5 linked regions of the Callithrix jacchus genome follow. The protein of the gene in region 1 purifies or fractionates together with the protein of each later gene. This does not show direct contact. Links are inferred from orthologs where the notes say so. Each region holds a gene or a part of one and is shown in the gene's direction. Other genes may lie near its edges. The genes, in order: DBN1, TMOD1, HOMER3, GSN and HOMER1.

Region 1 (2,806 bases):
CACCGCCTCCACCCCTGTTGCTGAGCAGATTGAGAGGGCCCTGGATGAGGTCACATCCTCACAGCCTCCACCACTGCCACCACCACCCACACCAGCCCAAGGTGAGAGAGGGACCCTACCTGCACCAGGGCTCCCATCATCATTCCCTGGCTGAGAGCCCCAGGTTGCCATGGTAACCATTCTCCAGGGATCTGGGACACCCATCACTAAGACTGCACTGCCCTGGAGGCGGCTGTGTGGGGAGGAGCCCTGGTGTGCAGTCAGACCTCTCTAAAGCTCAGCACCCGACTTCTTAAGTGGGAATCAGGCCTTCCTCCTGGAGCTGCCAAGGGGCTTAAAGTCACTGGGGTCACTGGGTAAGGGGGCAGTGGGACACCTGCATGGAAGTCCCTGGCTCCCTCCTCACATTGTTGGACAACCACCACCACTGTCCATGGGGCAGGGTCTCCATCCTCCCTCAAGGGAGCCCATTGCATAACTCCTCTGCCTGTGCTGTGACAGAGACCCAGGAGCCCAGCCCCAGCCTGGACAGTGAGGAGACCAGAGCAGCAGACCCTCAGGCCTGGGCCGGCCCCATGGAGGAGCCCCCCAAGGCACAGGTGCCTCCCCAGGGGCCAGGCAGCCCTGCAGAGGACTTGATGTTCATGGAGTCTGCAGAGCAGGCTGTCCTAGCTGCCCCTGTGGAGCCTGCCACAGCTGACACCGCTGAGGCCCATGATGCAGCTGACGCCATCAAAACCGACACTGCCACTGCTGACACCACTGTTGCCAACAATGTACCCCTTGCCACCACCAGCCTCATTGACCTATGGCCTGGCAATGGGGAAGGGGGCTCACTCCAGGGTGAGCCCAGGGCCCCCACACCACCCTCAGGTACTGAGGTCACCCTGGCAGAGGTGCCCCTGCTGGATGAGGTGGCTCCGGAGTCACTGCTGCCAGCAGGCGAAAGCTGTTCCACCCTTCTCAACTTTGATGAGCTGCCTGAGCCGCCAGCCACCTTCTGTGACCCAGAGGAAGTAGAAGGGGAGCCCCTGGCCGTCCCCCAGGCCCCGACTCTGCCCTCGGCCCTTGAGGAGCTGGAACAAGAGCAAGAGCAGGAGCCAGAGCCCCACCTGCTGACCAATGGCGAGACCACTCAGAAGGAGGGGACCCAGGTGCAGCAGGGGCTGCCTGGTGGGAGGGATGAGAGTGAGTCCAGGCTGAGCAGGGCACTGATCCTGCATTGCTCAGGCTTGCACCGGTATCCCCTTTCTGTGTGACCCACATTATTGGAGGGGAAGTCCATTCCACCTGCCCTTCCTGGGCTAGCTCTGCTTTTGTTCCCAAGGCAGGCATCTGTGTTTCCCCGGCAACCACTGATGGAATCATTGGTTGCTGGGGAAACGGGCTTAGGCCTGATAGGTCAGCCCCAGTCCTGCTGGCTGGGGCCAAGTGACCTGATGCTTTCCCCTGCAGGCCAGTGAGGGGTACTTCAGTCAATCACAGGAGGAGGAGTTTGCCCAATCGGAAGAGCTCTGTGCCAAGGCTCTGCCTCCTGTGTTCTACAACAAGCCTCCAGGTAGTAATGGGGCGGATGATGGGAAGAATTTCGGTGGGGAGGCTGGGTTTGAATGTGGGCAGCCATCCCACCACTACCCACCACCCATAGAGGCTGGGGACACAAGCATGGGTCGGCTAGGTCCCTAACTCATCTTATCTTCTAATGCCATAGAAATCGACATCACCTGCTGGGATGCAGACCCAGTTCCAGAAGAGGAGGAGGGCTTCGAGGGTGGTGATTAGCAGTGGCGCCAGCCCTAGGCTGCCCTTGCCAAGGCCGTCCACCTGCATCGGCCTCTGGCCAGACGGCCCGCCGTGCCTGCATTCGCAGCAGCTCCGCCTGGCACCCACTCTGGATTCCGGCCCTGGCTGGGGACTTGGCCGCTTCCCTACCCACAGGGCCTGACTTTTACAGCTTTTCTCTTTTTTTTAAAGTTGATAGGAGACTTGTACAGTTGACTGGTTTTCCTCCCGTTGGTAGTTGAGACGCTGTTGCAAATTCTACTTCTCCTTCCCTGGTCCAGATTGTAGCTGTTTTAGTCCTCCCTGCTCAGCTGGCCGGGGTGGAGGCCTCACCCTGCTTGGGGCCTGGCGTGGGGGGAGCTCTGGTGGGAAAATGTTCTCCACCTCTTTTCCTAGTTTTATGTTTCTTGGAAAAATATCACTTTGTATTCTCTGTCCAGGGCTTCAGATATTTTGCACGAATTTTAAAACATGGCAATAAATGGCTCGTGGGCTCTGGCTCCCTGGGACCCCCTCCCCACCCTTCTTTTGACCTCTCCCTGTCTGGTCCAAAGGAAGTAGCAGGCCCAGCTGGGTCCCCTTGGCTACCCACCCCCCTCTCCTGCCGGGCAGGTCCCAGGCTGGAGGCCCTAGGCGCGGTTCAGGTCAGGGCTATGGATGGGGCCCAGGGGCTTGGGTGGCCCCTCCCAAACTCCTTCCTCTTTGCTTGGGTTCCTTTTTCACGTTCAGTAACTGTTTTTTTTTTTTTTTTCTTTTTTCTTTTTTTTTTTTTTGGAAAGCACAAACTTCTGTAACGGGTCGTGCTCATGTCTGTTAATAAAGAAATCCAGATCCCTTTGGGCTGCCGCCTGCCCTAACCCAGGTTCCCAACTCCTCCCACCTCCGAGGCCACAGCACCTCCCTGCTACCAGGGGGCGCCTTCACCCTAATTCCAAGGCCCGTCAGACACTGGGTGGGGGGCTGAGGCTTCCAGGTGAAGCCGCCTAGAACCTAGAACCGCCCGAGGAAGGTTGATCTCAGACTT
Region 2 (3,517 bases), on another chromosome or scaffold:
TTGTTTGTCACAACTTGGGGGACAGTACTTCTGGCATCTAGGAGCTAGAGAGCAGAAGGGCTGCTAAAGAATCTCCAGTAGGTAGAGCGGCCTCCACGACAAGGAATTATCTAGCCCAGAATGTCAGTTGTGCTGAGGTTGAGAAACTCTGCTTTTACTAAATTCGTGGCTGCTACCAGATAGACTGGAAAAGAGATGAGAGTTAGCAAACCCTTCTCCCCTCAGTTACGACCCCTGGATTTCTTCTATTGCAATACTTAGCCTTTCTGGGGCCAGAACGTGCCTCAGCATCTTACTGACATCAAAACCCTTTATGGTAATGAAAATCTGTAGGCCTTCCCTGTGGGGATCCCTAAGAAGCAGGAGCACTTGCTTTCAGTGCTTAATTCATTTTATATTTGTGTGTTTTAGTTTTTTGAATTTATACTTGGATAATGCATTCCCTGTTAAACATATATATTTGGGTAACCAATCTCCTATTAACATATATTTTACCTGATTATATAACAATGGAAGTGACCATAAGTACCCATTTTTGGCTGTTCACTATGTTAGGCACTGTGCTAAGCACACTTTCTGCATTATCTCATTTAATTTTCTCAACCACTCTATGAGAGAGCAACTCTCATTACTTACATTTTACAGCCATGGAAACTGAGGCACAATGAGATTTAGGGGACTTGCCCAAGATTGTGCAGTTGAATCATTATTACTCCAAGTCAGGTCTGAAGCCTGATGGGTCAACTATGAGGTGCAGGCATGCCACAATGAGTTCGGATTATCCATTATGGGTAGTCACACATTGACGTTTGCAGAGCAATGAGGTATTCTCTCACTCTCTTGCATCGCAGTAAGCTCCCTGCCATGGAAGAGAAGGAGTAGGCAGATACAGCTAGCTATAGGAAGTCCCATCTAACCTGGGATATGCCCACAGAAGCATGGCTCACCTGGGAGCATCACCTATCCTGACTATCATGGTGGACAATATCTGAGTGCTTAAGGAAAACTGGGATGTGTGTAGATCACTTATGTTCCGGAAACTTCCAACCCCAAGTCAGTCAGGCCTTGGTTTTCTACCGGCTGTCCTCTCATAAAAAGCTTCAACTCCTAGTGTCTGTTTTGATCTGTGGCCTAAAGCTATCTGTAAGCACACCAGCACCACTTGCCAGGCCTGTTATCTGTCCATCCAGGCTCTGTGCTAGGTGGGTCCTGCTCACTTACAGCCCTCTCAGAGGCAGGGTCACAGCCCAGTCTCCTGACCTTACAGCCACGACTCTTACTGAAACAGCATTGTGGTGTTAAAAGCATAAGCATCATGTGGTGGCTCATGCCTATAATACTAACACTTTGGGATGCTGAGTTGGGTGGATCACTTGAGGTTGGGAGTTCGAGACCAGCGTGACCAACATGGAGAAACCTGTCTCTACTAAAAATACAAAATTAGCCAGGTGTGGTGGCGCATGCCTGTAATACCAGCTAGTCGGGAGGCTGAGGCAGGAGAATCACTTGAACCTGGGAGGCAGAAGTTGTGGTGAACTGAGATCACACCACTGCACTCCAGCCTGGGCAACAAGAGTGAAACTCTGCCTCAAAAAAGAAAAAAAAAAAAAAAGATAGTACATCTTTTAAAACATGATGCATTAAACAGTAGTATTCCCTCCCAGGCTGTATCCCTCTATGTGCCAGGCATATGTTGATCTTCATATGCCTGATAACAGTCCCCTTACAGAGGGGGCTTTCAGAAAAGGATTTGGAGTTTGTAAGAGTGACTGAAGATATGCATTTTGATGGTACAAAGATTGGAGGTGGGGTCGGGCACAGTAATCCCAGCAGTTTGGGAGGCTGAGGTGGGCAGATCACCTGAGGTCAGAAGTTCAAGATCAGCCTGGGCAATATGGTAAAACCCTGACTCTACTAAAAATACAAAAAAATTATCTGGGTGTGGTGGCGGGCACCTGTAATCCCAGCTACTTGGGAGGTTGAGGCAGGAGAATCGCTTGAACCCAAGAGGCAGAAGCTGCAGTGAGCAGAGATCACACCACTGCACTCCAGCCTGGGTGCAACAGAGGGAGACGATCTTCAACTTAGCCAGTTTGAGGGTGCATATCTTTGGGGTGATGTCCTTTCCATACCAGCCTCCCATGTATCATCTGCTAGCTCTGCGAATGCAGAAAGAGACAGGGAGCATGCAGCAATTAGAAATGAAGATCTTCCTCCTCCCCTAAATCTGAAGAAGAACGCTGGTTTTTGTTCTAGACCTGTCCTGAAACTCCTCGGGCAAATCTTTCCTTGCTCCAGGCCTCAGTTTCCCCTGATGGAGAGTGTATGCACTAGATGATCTCTGAGCATCCTTGCAGCTATAGGGTGATAGCTTGTACCTTTGACTCCCTAAGGTACGGGGGGCTGAGTTAAAGTGAAGCCGGTGAGGGTAACTCCAATCCCCCCTAATTAGGAATCTGCTTTAGTAGTAAGCCCTCACCTAGAAGCCTGCTTATGTTTGAAGAAGAAAAGAGAACAGTTGGTTGATGTTATGTTTCTTGAGATACCCATCTCCAGGGGCGACATTCAAAATATTTAACCACCAGTGTGTCATGAGCACGAACCCATCAGGAGGTGAGAAGGCAGTGAGAGGTAGAGCCAGCAGGGGCTGTGCCCACAGAGCATGCCCCGCCCACCTCTTAGCTCTGCAGGGCTCTGCTCACCTCACTGCTTTCCTGGGCCTTTCTCCAGCTTTTTTTTTTTTTTTTTTTTTTTTTGTCTGCCTTTTCCTGCCTGATTCTCCATCCAGGGCCCCAAGTCAACCCCCTTTGGCTGCTTCTCTTTCCAACCACTTGATACTCAACTCCTGTAAATATCTTTATGCATCCAAACAACAACTCAGTCATATTCATCCCCCAACAGATGCTCTTTCAGTGTCCTCTGTGCTCAGGCTGGAGTTGGCTGCCTTGACCCCTCACCTCCTCGTCTTCAAAAATGTTAGAGGCAGGGACATGCTGGAGGATTGAGAAACCTGAGTCTTAGCCTCTCTCTGCTCCTCATCTGCCTTTGACCTTGGGCAAGCCCCTGCCCCTCCTGGGGTTTCAGATTCCTTACATGTAAAACGAGGGACACCATGGATTCCATGAGCTCTGAGGTCCCTGCTGTTTGATGATGAGTTTCTGGAGAAGTGCAAGTCTTCAGCAGCTGATCACTCTCTCTTTCTCTCTCTCTCTTTCTCTCTCTCCTGCCCCCCACAACCTCCACTGTAGAATGCATTGCTGCCTGCAGGCCTGAGGCAAAAGGATCAGACCACCAAGGCGCCCACGGGCCCCTTTAAAAGAGAGGAGCTCTTGGATCACTTGGAAAAGCAAGCAAAGGAGTTTAAGGACCGAGAAGATCTGGTCCCCTACACAGGGGAAAAACGAGGTACTGAACAATGTTGCTGTTATGAATATACCACTCGCCATGCATCATTGAGTGCCAACTGTATACCAGGCCCTGCCAGGCTCAGTACTGGGCCAAATGTGACTGGGCCTCC
Region 3 (4,034 bases), on another chromosome or scaffold:
GGGAGGCCGAGGTGGGCGGATCACCTGAAGTCAGGAGTTCAAGACCAGCCTGACCAACATGGTGAAACCCCGTCTTTAAAAATAAATAAATAATTAATTAAAAAAGAAAGAAAAGAAAAAGAGAGAGAGGGAGGGAGGGAGGGAAAGAAAGGAAAAAAGAGAGAGAGAGAAAGGAAGGAATGAAGGAAGAAAGAGAAAGAAAGAAAGAGACTCAAATGCAAGGCTCAGAGCTGTAGGGCGCCACAGCCCTTGGTTCCAGGGAGCTGCAGGGACTTTGCCCACAAACCGACGGTAATGTGCGGTTTTGGAGAAGGTGCCAGAGATAGGGCAGCACCAGGATTGACAAGTTCCACCCATGGGCTTGGGGCTGGGGAGATGGATCCCACCTCAGCTCTGGAAGGATGCTTTCCTGGCAAGTGTGGGAAGGGGATGCTCCTTGTGACCAGAGGTGACAAAGGGGACACACCCATGCGTTGGAGACATTCCCTAAGCCTTTGGATCTTGGGACCCACAAACTAGCAATGATAACCTTAATCCAACCATCATGGGCATTTTACCATTGTCTTGGGAAGGACAGAGGTGGACAGATGTCCCTGCCCAGGGATGGAGCTGGCAGAACAGACAGGAAGGCTTCTCTCTCTTTGTCTTGCTTCCTGTTCCCTCCCGAAGCCGATCTCTTCCGTTTCCTGGCAACACCCATTGAGCACCTACTGTATGCAAACAGTACATACAGTGCATACAGTAGGTGCTCAATGGGTGTTGCCAGGAAACGAGAGCCCCGTGGCCAGAAGGGACCCACCGCCCCCTCTGCAACCTCACTGAACCACCCACGTCAGCCCGGGAGGGACCTGACCTTCCTCATGGGCCCAAAGTCATGACCTCAGGTAGTGGGGACAGAGGCAGCTGTCCCCTGAGACGTGACAGGAGGGTGAGGTCACATCGCCGTCCCTGCAACTGTATCTCTACATCTGCTTCCTGTCTCTTTGCCTGTCTCCGCCGTGTCTCTTTCTGGGTCTCTTTCTCATCCCAGATGTCCCTCTCCTCTGTCTCTCTGTCCCCACCCTCTGTTCCCAGTCCCGAACCCCCGCAACGCCCCAGTCCCCCTCCACCGCCCTTAGCCCCCTCCCCCAATCCCCCGCCCCTCCCCCCACCTGGCCCGGTGCAAAAAGCCGGCAGGGGGCGCAGCGGGGCGGCCTCGGCGGCCCCGGGAGGCGGGGCGGGCGGCGGCCGCGTCGGGACCCGCCGCGATGGGACCGGAGGCGGCGCGGGCGGCGGCGGCGGCGCAGACAAAGACGCGGGCGGCGCGGAGGGCGGCGCGGAGGGCGCGGGCCCGGGAGCCAGGGAGCGAGCGGGGCGCCCGGCTGCGCGGAGTCAGCGCCGCGGGGGCCGCACCCGACTTGCGACCGAACACTCGCTGGGCGCCGACCCGGCAGGGTGAGCCCGGCCGGCCGAGACTGCGCCGCGAGCGCGGGGGCCTCGAAGTCGCGGGGCCAAGGGAAGGGCGCGGGGGGTCCCCAGAAGTTCCGGACCTGGGGACTGGGAGCGGCGCGAGGGGCCCCCAAGTTCCAGGGCCGGAGGGAGCGCAGGGGTCCCGAAGTTCTGGAGTCGGGGTCGGTGAGGGGACCGCGCGGGAGGTTCCCAAAGTTCTGGACCCGGCGTTGGAGGAGGCTGCGAAGGAGTCCCCAAAGTTTCGGACCTGGGGTGGGAGCCAGGCGCGGGAGGGGCCCCGACGTCCGGGACCAGGGACTGGAAGGGTGGCAGGGGGTCCACCTCGAAGTTTAGGAGTCTGGGACAACGAGGGGGTCCCCAAAGTTCCGGACCGGGTTAGAGGGGGCGGCACGGAGGGCAGTCCCCGGAGTTCCGGACCTGGGGTTGGAGGAGGCAGAAGAGGTATCCCCGAAGTTCTGTACCCAGCGACGGGGCTGTCGCGGGAATCTCGGAAGTTCCAGGGTCAGGGCGCGCGTCCCGGAGTTGGGTCGCGCACTGGGTGTCCTCCCGCCTCGGGTGGGGACTGGATCCTGAATGAATATTGGCCCCCTCCCCGCCTCCGGAGTGGGGTGCATGGGACGGGGCCTCACCCACCGGCCAGATTGGGGATCCCGGGCACCGGGCGGTGTCGGACCCCCCTTCGGGAGCCCCGTGGCCGGCGGCATCCGAGCGCATGACTAGTTGGTGAGTAACTTTCCCCAAACGCTGCAAGTCGCAGCAGGAGCGGCCGGACCGGAAGGGCCTGGGTTCCGGGGACCCCTGCGTCCCCCAACTCCCACCTGGCGCAGGACCTACCTCCGGTCCAGGCCAGAGCTCCCGCCCCACCCCCACTCAGGGGCTCCAGTTTCAGACCCTGTGACCGGCGCAGCAGCTGCCCAGGACAGGATGGGGGGGCATACCCCCTTTGACCATAGAGGCTGCTGGGCTGGGGCCTCCCCGCCTATCTTCCCCCTCCCCCAAATCCTTCCTTGGTCCCCTGCACATCCGGGTGGCTGGATGGACCAATGGGGAGGTTGGGGAGCCCTGTTCTCCCAGTGGTGGCATTGGGATTGGCATTCTGCTCTGCTCCCTGTGATGGGCACTGGGATTGGCTGTTTGGCTACATCTTGTCTTTTTAACTTGGCTGGGGGCTGCCTGGGGATTTGGAGTCTGGGCTGCCAGGTGTGCCTCTAGCCTAGGGTGGGAGCTGGGGGGGTCCCTCTGCAGGGCGCAGTGGGGAACTGGTCTCCCAGTACTACACACCTCTCAATGCCCCATTTTTGATGGAGAACCTCTCTCTGGCCGGTCATGGGTGAATGGAAAGAACTCAGCAGATATGTGGCCTTCACAGCTCAGCCCAGGATGGAGGGGGCTTCACGGGGCGAGGTGGGGGGTGCCGTAACTAGGACGATGAGAGATTTACATCTGAATGTCAACAGCAGCCACCTGGCTCCTCTCAGAGGGCCATCTCCTGTACAGGGTGTGGTGAGGGCTTCCCCCAGACAAAGAAAGATGGGGTCCACTTGCTCTGAGTGATCTATAATGATAATCTGGCCTTTTCATTTCTTTCTATCATTTCTTTGTTTTGTGGAGACAGGGTCTTGCTCTCTTGCCCAGGCTGGAGTGCAGTGGTGCTATCATGGCTCACTGCACTGCGGCCTTGACCTCCTGGGCTCAAGCGATCCTCCCACCTCAGCCTCCCCAGTAGCTGGGACCACAGGCACATGCCACCACACCTGGCTAATTGTTTAAATTTTGGGTAGGGGTGGGGTCTCACCATGATGCTCAGGCTGGTCTCGAACTCCTGGGCTCAAATGATCCTCCTGACTCAGCCTCCCAAAGCACACCCAGTGCTTTGGGCCTCTCTTGCCTTTTTGATGGAAAGTTCTGTGATAATGGGTCCTGAGCTGGAACCTGCTTGGCTTCCCTCAACCTGGCCTGAGGGACACTCATAGTCCCTCCTCTCTCCCTAGGGGCCAAACCAGCGGCTCCTGCCACCTCTCTGGCTGCCCCCTAGAGCCTGCCCAGCCCCGCCTGACCAATGTCCACAGCCAGGTGAGCTCCCACCTCCCCAGCCTGGACCTGAGCTTTCTAAGGGGGCATGTCCGGCCCCTACTGATCACCCTCTCCCCACACAGGGAGCAGCCAATCTTCAGTACACGGGCGCACGTGTTCCAAATTGACCCGGCCACCAAGCGAAACTGGATCCCGGCGGGCAAGCATGCACTCACGGTCTCCTATTTCTACGATGCCACCCGAAATGTCTACCGCATCATCAGCATTGGGGGCGCCAAGGTCCGGGTGGGGTCTAGGTGGGGCAGAGGCACCAGGGGTCCTGGTGACACGCGTGGGTCTGGTGGCTGGCTTGCTGTGTGCCCAAGGGATGGGAAACTCTGAGCCTTCCGGGGCCCTAGTCTGTCCCCTGAAATGGCTCAGAGTAAAGACTTTCCAGAGGCTAATACAAGGTGATACCTGGGGGTTTCATGTCTCGTACTATCCGTCCCATCAACCTTGAACTTTGTCCCCCAACCCCAGGCAATCATCAACAGCACTGTCACTCCAAACAT
Region 4 (3,517 bases), on another chromosome or scaffold:
TGTGAAGACTTTTAAAAAAATTAGCTGCATCACACATTGATATGTCAGATTTTGTTTGCTTATGTGATGACATATGTTGGTTATGGAAACGTAGAAATATGCAAAGAGGTGGGATAGAAAGGCAAAATCCCCCTAAAACTTCCCTCTAAGGGCAATCGCCATGGACCTTTTGCTGAACATCTGTGCAGACCTCTCTGCACGTGTTCACGGGAGGCTTAATCGTTGACATCTTTTCCCATAAATGGGCTCACGTGACACTTGCTGTTCTGTGACCTGGTTTTCCACCCAGAGAAATGTCCTGGCCACTTCCCTGCATCTCAAATTTGAGTCTCAGAGCACCTTCTCTGTAGCTGTTCAGTATGGAATGACCCAGCCAGTCTCCTGTGGGGCACATTTAGGATAAGGAAATTCATGCGTTGCACTCAGATCTCTGTAAGCAGGCAAGGTGCTTGGCTGAGAGTGGAAGTGTTGTTGGTGTGGTTCCTGGCTCTTGTTGCTCTGAGAGGGTCCCCTTCTCTCTCTGTTTCTTTACTGGTAACGGGGTGATTTGTATGTTTCTCAGACTCAGGGCAAGGGAGAGGCTCAGGGCTCTGTGTGCACCTTGGTGCTGAATCTCACTTCCCCTTTAGGCAGGGTGCCCAGTCTACACAGGATGAAGTCGCTGCATCTGCCATTCTGACTGCTCAGCTGGATGAGGAGCTGGGAGGTACCCCTGTCCAGGTGAGCCCAGCCCACCAGCTTTCTGGGCTGCAGCCTGAGCCTTGTCTATCTGTTACTCATCTGTCTGACTCTCAACCATCTGTTCGTTTGTCCATCCATCCATCCATCCATCCATCCATACATCCATGGTACAGATATTTATTTAGGGCTTGGATGTGTTCCACACTGCATCTGTAGCCATGGACACGCAGACACTGCCCTGCCCTAATGGGCTTTGCTGTCTTGGGTGGTAGTAGACATTCAACACACATGTACACTAATGGCTATGACAGATGAAGCGAGTGAAAATGATAAGACCTTGGGGAGACAGATGTGGGAGAGGCAACATGGCTAAGCACGGATGTGGAGCCAGCACGCTTGGGTTTGAATCCTGTTCTTACCTCTGGGCAACTTTGGGCAAGTCACTTAGCCCCTCTGTGCCTCTGCATCCTCAAAATAGGGGTAATAACAGTACCATCCCACAGGATTGCTGTGAGGATTAAGTTAACATTTGTAAAACATTTAGAGCCATGCCTGTCATATAATAAGTTCCTCCCTTATACACATGTGTTAAGTATAAGGGCATAAATCCCAGGTAGGATCCTATTGGATTAGAAAAGCCCACTCCTGTCCCAAGAGGGAACTGTTCAATGGGGGCCTAATGCATGTGTAGGAGTTGGCCAGGCAGAGTGAAGGAAAGTACGTTCCAGCTAAAAGGTGGTGCATACACAAAGGCCCTGGAGTGGGCGGGAGCATTGGGTGTTAAAGTGAAGGGAAGGTGCCATGATTTGAGGCTGGACAGGTGCTCAGAGGGCCCAGACCACCAGAGGCCACGGTGACGATGTTGACCTTGATGCTCAGAATAACAGGAAGTTGCTGAATGATAAGTCTGCGGTGTGGGGATTTCTGGTTTTAAAAGTCGCTCTGGCTAGCGGGGGCGCTGGAGGGCAGCAGAGCTGGTTTGTGGAGATGTGGGGGAAGCAGACAACAATTGTCTTCCTCCATCCTATGCGGGGGGTGCGCAGGGCTCTAGACTTGGATCAGGGCTTCATGCCCTGACCTTTGTCTATGATAGTCTGGGTGCTGAGCACTAAATGAGACGATGACCATCGTAGCTCAGTGCATCCTCACGATGGCCTTGGGAGTAGCATCCTTGGCTGCATTTTACAGAGGAGGAACCCAAGAGGTTGAGATATGTGCCCAAGTTCTCACCATCAGGGTGGAGTTGGGTCATGGTGGGAAGCAACTGCCATGCACCAGACACGCACGTGTGGTTTTCTTCTGGACGTAGTTAGTCAGGGCTGCGGTAAGGTGGCACACATGGCTGGGGATGGGTAGCACTTGTGAGGATGTACATCTTCCCCGCCTCACTCCCACCTCCCAGCCCCTGACTGCTGCCTGCATCTGGGTTGCACTGGCTGTCAGGAGGGCGTTTTCCAGATCTGGAATGCTCTGTTCTTACCACTCCACTGGCAGTCATTGGCCAGGCCTGACGTCACCATTCTGGAAGAATGTCCACCAGCAATCCCTGTGCTTCTATTTAAGGGAATATTTGCAGACATGGGCTCTCCTGGTTCTTGGACCAGACTGAGGGTCAGCAAGGCACATCCTCATGGAGATGGAGAGCAGCCACAGCAGCAGTGCCCTGGGGACCGCAGGCGATAGTGTTGTCTCCACCCTTTTTGGAATTTTGTGTCTTGGCCTGTGTGTTGTAGGGTCACACTCACTGCCACACACAGACATAAGCATGATGGCTTTGTCTGAAGGGGTGGGCCCAGTGTGACATAGAAGGACTGAGTCCTGCCCCCAAGGTCCCCTCACTCTCCTGTCTCTCTGCCAGAGCCGTGTGGTCCAAGGCAAGGAGCCCGCCCACCTCATGAGCCTGTTTGGTGGGAAGCCCATGATCATCTACAAGGGTGGCACCTCCCGGGAGGGCGGGCAGACAGCCCCTGCCAGCACCCGCCTCTTCCAAGTCCGTGCCAACAGCGCTGGAGCCACCCGGGCTGTCGAGGTAATTCCCAGGTCCTGGACCACAGAAAGGATTGGCCTCCCTGAAACCTCCCAGGCTCAATGGGCAGATGTCCAGGCACAGGATGGGGTGGGGTGGGAGAGGGAGTAAGAAGCAGCTTTTTGTACCTTCCTGCCCTGGCCGCGGGGTGATCTGTCTCAGACTTCCTCCTGTTTCAAGGATGTCCTGTGTCCCTGGCACACTGCATAGTGGACAGCTCACTACCTATCGTTCTGTACAATCAGGACACCATTCCTGATTATATTCCCGTTGGCTACTATCCCTTTCGGGAGGAAGGCACAGATCTGGACGTGATTCCCAGGATGGTCTGGGGAGCCTAGAGGGGAATGGGACTCTCACCTTCTTTGTTCTGGGTGCTCAACTTCTGTTAATGCAGCCCTGAATTCTAGAATCATCTTGGCTAGTCACAGTGCATTAGTGACTCATGGGAGTCAACCAAGGCCGTCAGAATCCAAAGCCTGTGCCCTTAGCTCTGATGGGCTGTGTTCCTCCAAGTCCCCTCCTGAGAGCTCATCCTGTTGCAGGGTCAGCCGGGCTGGAGGGGGCTGAGGGCTTTTTGTCTGGCTCCTGATTAACCAAGCTCTACCCTCCCAGGTATTGCCTAAGGCTGGGGCACTGAACTCCAACGATGCCTTTGTCCTGAAAACCCCCTCAGCTGCATACCTGTGGGTGGGTACAGGAGCCAGTGAGGCGGAGAAGACAGGGGCCCAGGAGCTGCTCAGGGTGCTGCGGGCTCAACCTGTGCAGGTGACAGAAGGCAGTGAGCCAGGTAGGAGCCGGGATGCAGCT
Region 5 (3,517 bases), about 63 Mb from region 1:
ACATTGTAAATGAGGTGTTGTAGAGACCACAGATTTTGTTATTTTTGAAAAGTATTGAGTTTTTGTTTCAGGAGGCAGTTAAATTATTTGGGGATTATCTTGAATTTATGGAGTTGTGTATTTATGCTTTGTTAGAATTCATTTATTTCCATTTTGCTGTAACCCTAGGGTAAATCGCTTTGTCCTAGGAAATCTTTCTCTCTAAGACATAACCCTTCTGAGGTTTCAATGAAAAGCTTGAGCTATTTACCAAGACCCTATAGTTTAGAGGGGACTAGCAGAACTTCAAACTGTCCTCTCTGTTGAGCACCATCACAGTTTAGGTCTTTCAGCCTTCTAGCTCTTTTCCTACTCCTAGTTGTTCCAGGTCTTCTGCGGAGTCCTAAAATTCTCAGGCTCCTCAGAGAAATAAGAGTATGGATTTCTGCTTGAGTTCAGTCAAGCAGTGCAGCCAGACTGCAGAGTGCCATCAGGCAAAAAGATGTTGAAATGTGTATTTCACCCGAAGTGACTGCTTTCTTGCAGTCTTTTGCCCAATTTGGTTATTCACCAGGGCCTTCAAACAGTTGATTTTTATATTTTGCCCACAGTTTGCAATAGTTATCTATAGGAAAGTTACTCCAATAAAAACTATGTCATCATTTATCAGAATTGGAACTCCCCTTAAGGAATTTATTATATAATGAGACAAAGAAAACAAATACATATTAAGCAATAAGAGAAATAATTCCAAGATTTTTTTAGCAGCTGCTTGGTGGTGTGAACCAGAGGAGAGCCTTGAAGGCTTGAGCAGATAAGAATGGCTTTCTGGAGAAAGTACCTGCTGAGCTAAGAGTTAAGGGTTTGGTTAGGTCCGAATGGTTTTCAGAGGCAAAAGAGGACATTCTAGTTAAATCAACAAGATGGGAATGAATATCGCTTGTTCTTAGGACAAGGAGATTTGCCTGCTTTCAGTTGGAAGTACTCGCTGAATGTCTTAGGCAGTATGGGTGGTTGAGAAGGTTGGGGCCAATATACAAAGGATCTGAATGTTTAGATCTGACACTAAAAAAGATGAGCTGCTGAAAGTCTTTGAATGGGGGACTCACAGGATCAAAGATGAATCTGTTAGCAGTTTGAAGAATGGACAAAAATAAGAAAAGGTTATAATTAAGTCCACTGGGAGGCTGTTGGTTTTGTTCAGGCCTGGGCGTTAAGGGTTTGTAACAAGACTATTAGTTAAAAACCCTTGAGAAGAAAGGAAGAAAATTATATCACACCTGTTATCCCAGCACTTTGAGAGGCTGAGGTGGGTGGATCACAAGGTCAAGAGATTGAGACCATGCTGGCCAACATGGTGAAACACCATCTCTACTAAAAATACACAAAAATTTGTTGGATGTGGCGGCATGCACCTGTAGTCCCAGCTACTCGGGAGGCTGAGGCAGGGGCAGGAGAATTGCTTGAACCTAGGAGGCGGAGGTTGCAGTGAGCCAAGATGGTGCCACTGCAATCCAGCCTGGTGACAGAGCAAGGCTGTCTCAAAAAAAAAAAAGAGAGTAACAGAATGTAGAGAAAGAGACAGAGTAACAGAATGTAGAGGGTGATTTGGAAAATGCCAGGGAAAGGGATTTACTCTGTTTCATTAATAGTGTAGAATTTACTGTCTTCTAGTAAACCAAAATTTTGTGAGCACATGATATGTGTAAAGAGCTGTGATAGGGTGTGTGTGCATGTGTGTGTGTGTGTGTGTGTTGTGTATTTATGTTGACTTCTATTATTGATTCTCATTTTGGATGGTATAACTTTAAAGACTGTGCCCCTCTCTGTTCTCTCAAAAAATACCAAGTGCTCATTAAAAGTTACATTACTCTTTAAGCATTCAGTAAATTCTTACTGACTAACAAAATATTATCTTACCCATAAGAGACACTATAGATGTAAAGTCATTCTAGTATCTAATGATTTAAGTTGTATTTTAAGCCTATTTTTTCTTCCAGATTCTCTTACATGTTGGAAATGTATTTGAAAAAATTCTCACTTCTACAAGGCCAGTTTTCAGAACCTGTATTGAATTTGGAGGCTACAGATGGAGGACAGATGGCCATATCTGATCTTGAATATATTTTTGGAAGAAATTTTTAAAGAAGACTTTTATTATAGGAATTCTCTACTGTCATTAATCACTTAAGTTTTTCTAACCTTTCCATGACCAAGCCATGTAAATAATTATTTTCTTTGGTCTTTTACCCTTTCCTAGTTTTACATCTTTGAAGAATCTATTCACTCTACCTTGAGTGTTTTCTTAGTACTTCTCAAAATCAATTTTTATGTATTTATTCAGAATATACTATTCATTGGGACTTATATCTTTAGCAAGAAACTCTTTAAAGTTGAAATTAATCTGTGTTCTTATTTAATTTTAGGTGACTGAACTGGAATGTGTTAGTAGCCAAGCAAATGCAGTACATACTCATAAGTCAGAATTAAATCAGACAATACAAGAACTGGAAGAGACACTGAAAGAGAAGGAAGAGGTATTTGCTACTTTTTACTCATCTGTAATCTAGCTAATGTGTGTACAAAGTATTAGATTCTATGTCAAATTTAAGGGTATTTTATGGAATAAAGTAAAGTTGTAACCTTGTTTTAGGATTAAGTTTTTTCTTGAATGATATTAAGCTTGTTTTTATATTTTCCCTTTCCTTATTTCTGTTGTGAACTGTGGTGAGGCAATCAGACGGAGATACCACCTATTGCCTTCTAGATGAGAGTTGCATTTATACAGTCAACAGAAAACTATTAGAGGTTAAATGGATTTTAAAAGCTGTTGCTTTTTCTGGGTTCCAGTCAAAACTTTAATATCTTAGGAAAGAATCATATCCACAAAGCTTTAAAGCAACATTAAAATTTTCAGGTTGTTATTTCTAAGCAGTGCTGTACCAGTTAGACTTGTTGCTGTTACTTAAGATTATTCTGTTCTAGACAACGTACTTATAAAGATGAATTCATCCCTTTAAAAGTCAATATAAAGGAATGTTTTTTAAATCATCTTTTTCTAAGAACTGGAACAATAATTTCAGGGAAAAATAAGACCTTCCCTTTCCTTGATACAGCTTAAATGCTAAGATGTTGCTCTGCCTTTTCTAGGAGATAGAAAGATTAAAACAAGAAATTGATAATGCCAGAGAACTACAAGAACAGAGGGACTCTTTGACTCAGAAACTACAGGTGAGCTGTCGTAAAAATTTTTATTCATTTCTGCATAGAAAGGCATCTTTTTTTTTTACATAGCAGTGACTTTTTTTCTGATATTTCATTTTGCAGGTTTTGGTCATTTTTCTTTTCCAGGACTTCTGATTCATGCCTGTCATCTTTGGTTTTTGAAAAGTTACTTGGTAACTTTATCTAGATAGCTTATAATCACCATAGATGGTCATTTATAAATTATAAATTATTTAGTAAATTCTTTTGGAAATTTCTACTTTTAATTAAAAAAAATATACCCTGGGGTTGGGCATGGTGGCTCATGCTTGTA

What was found.
Region 2: the proteins of DBN1 (region 1) and TMOD1 purify together in Homo sapiens (co-immunoprecipitation; 3 studies listed by BioGRID and IntAct, with this or other methods). This does not show direct contact. The link is inferred for Callithrix jacchus from reciprocal best matches to the Homo sapiens genes DBN1 and TMOD1.
Region 3: the proteins of DBN1 (region 1) and HOMER3 purify together in Homo sapiens (co-immunoprecipitation; 3 studies listed by BioGRID and IntAct, counting the BioPlex papers as one, with this or other methods). This does not show direct contact. The link is inferred for Callithrix jacchus from reciprocal best matches to the Homo sapiens genes DBN1 and HOMER3.
Region 4: the proteins of DBN1 (region 1) and GSN purify together in Homo sapiens (co-immunoprecipitation; 3 studies listed by BioGRID and IntAct, counting the BioPlex papers as one, with this or other methods). This does not show direct contact. The link is inferred for Callithrix jacchus from reciprocal best matches to the Homo sapiens genes DBN1 and GSN.
Region 5: the proteins of DBN1 (region 1) and HOMER1 purify together in Homo sapiens (co-immunoprecipitation; 3 studies listed by BioGRID and IntAct, counting the BioPlex papers as one, with this or other methods). This does not show direct contact. The link is inferred for Callithrix jacchus from reciprocal best matches to the Homo sapiens genes DBN1 and HOMER1.

What each region holds. Positions count from the first base shown.
Region 1 is NC_133503.1:68,679,944-68,682,749, forward strand, and holds the end of DBN1 (drebrin), read left to right. Parts: coding exon 1-101; intron 102-501; coding exon 502-1,154; intron 1,155-1,455; coding exon 1,456-1,558; intron 1,559-1,711; coding exon 1,712-1,782; 3' UTR 1,783-2,291; downstream 2,292-2,806. UniProt on the Homo sapiens protein: Actin cytoskeleton-organizing protein that plays a role in the formation of cell projections. Required for actin polymerization at immunological synapses (IS) and for the recruitment of the chemokine receptor CXCR4 to IS.
Region 2 is NC_133502.1:145,688,469-145,691,985, forward strand, and holds part of TMOD1 (tropomodulin-1), read left to right. Parts: intron 1-3,248; coding exon 3,249-3,405; intron 3,406-3,517. UniProt on the Homo sapiens protein: Blocks the elongation and depolymerization of the actin filaments at the pointed end. The Tmod/TM complex contributes to the formation of the short actin protofilament, which in turn defines the geometry of the membrane skeleton.
Region 3 is NC_133523.1:17,630,848-17,634,881, reverse strand, and holds the start of HOMER3 (homer protein homolog 3), read left to right. Parts: upstream 1-1,234; 5' UTR 1,235-2,172; intron 2,173-3,440; 5' UTR 3,441-3,508; coding exon 3,509-3,522; intron 3,523-3,605; coding exon 3,606-3,762; intron 3,763-4,002; coding exon 4,003-4,034. UniProt on the Homo sapiens protein: Postsynaptic density scaffolding protein. Binds and cross-links cytoplasmic regions of GRM1, GRM5, ITPR1, DNM3, RYR1, RYR2, SHANK1 and SHANK3.
Region 4 is NC_133502.1:169,724,924-169,728,440, forward strand, and holds part of GSN (gelsolin), read left to right. Parts: intron 1-629; coding exon 630-720; intron 721-2,539; coding exon 2,540-2,710; intron 2,711-3,322; coding exon 3,323-3,497; intron 3,498-3,517. UniProt on the Homo sapiens protein: Calcium-regulated, actin-modulating protein that binds to the plus (or barbed) ends of actin monomers or filaments, preventing monomer exchange (end-blocking or capping).
Region 5 is NC_133503.1:131,558,475-131,561,991, forward strand, and holds part of HOMER1 (homer protein homolog 1), read left to right. Parts: intron 1-2,405; coding exon 2,406-2,516; intron 2,517-3,129; coding exon 3,130-3,210; intron 3,211-3,517. UniProt on the Homo sapiens protein: Postsynaptic density scaffolding protein. Binds and cross-links cytoplasmic regions of GRM1, GRM5, ITPR1, DNM3, RYR1, RYR2, SHANK1 and SHANK3.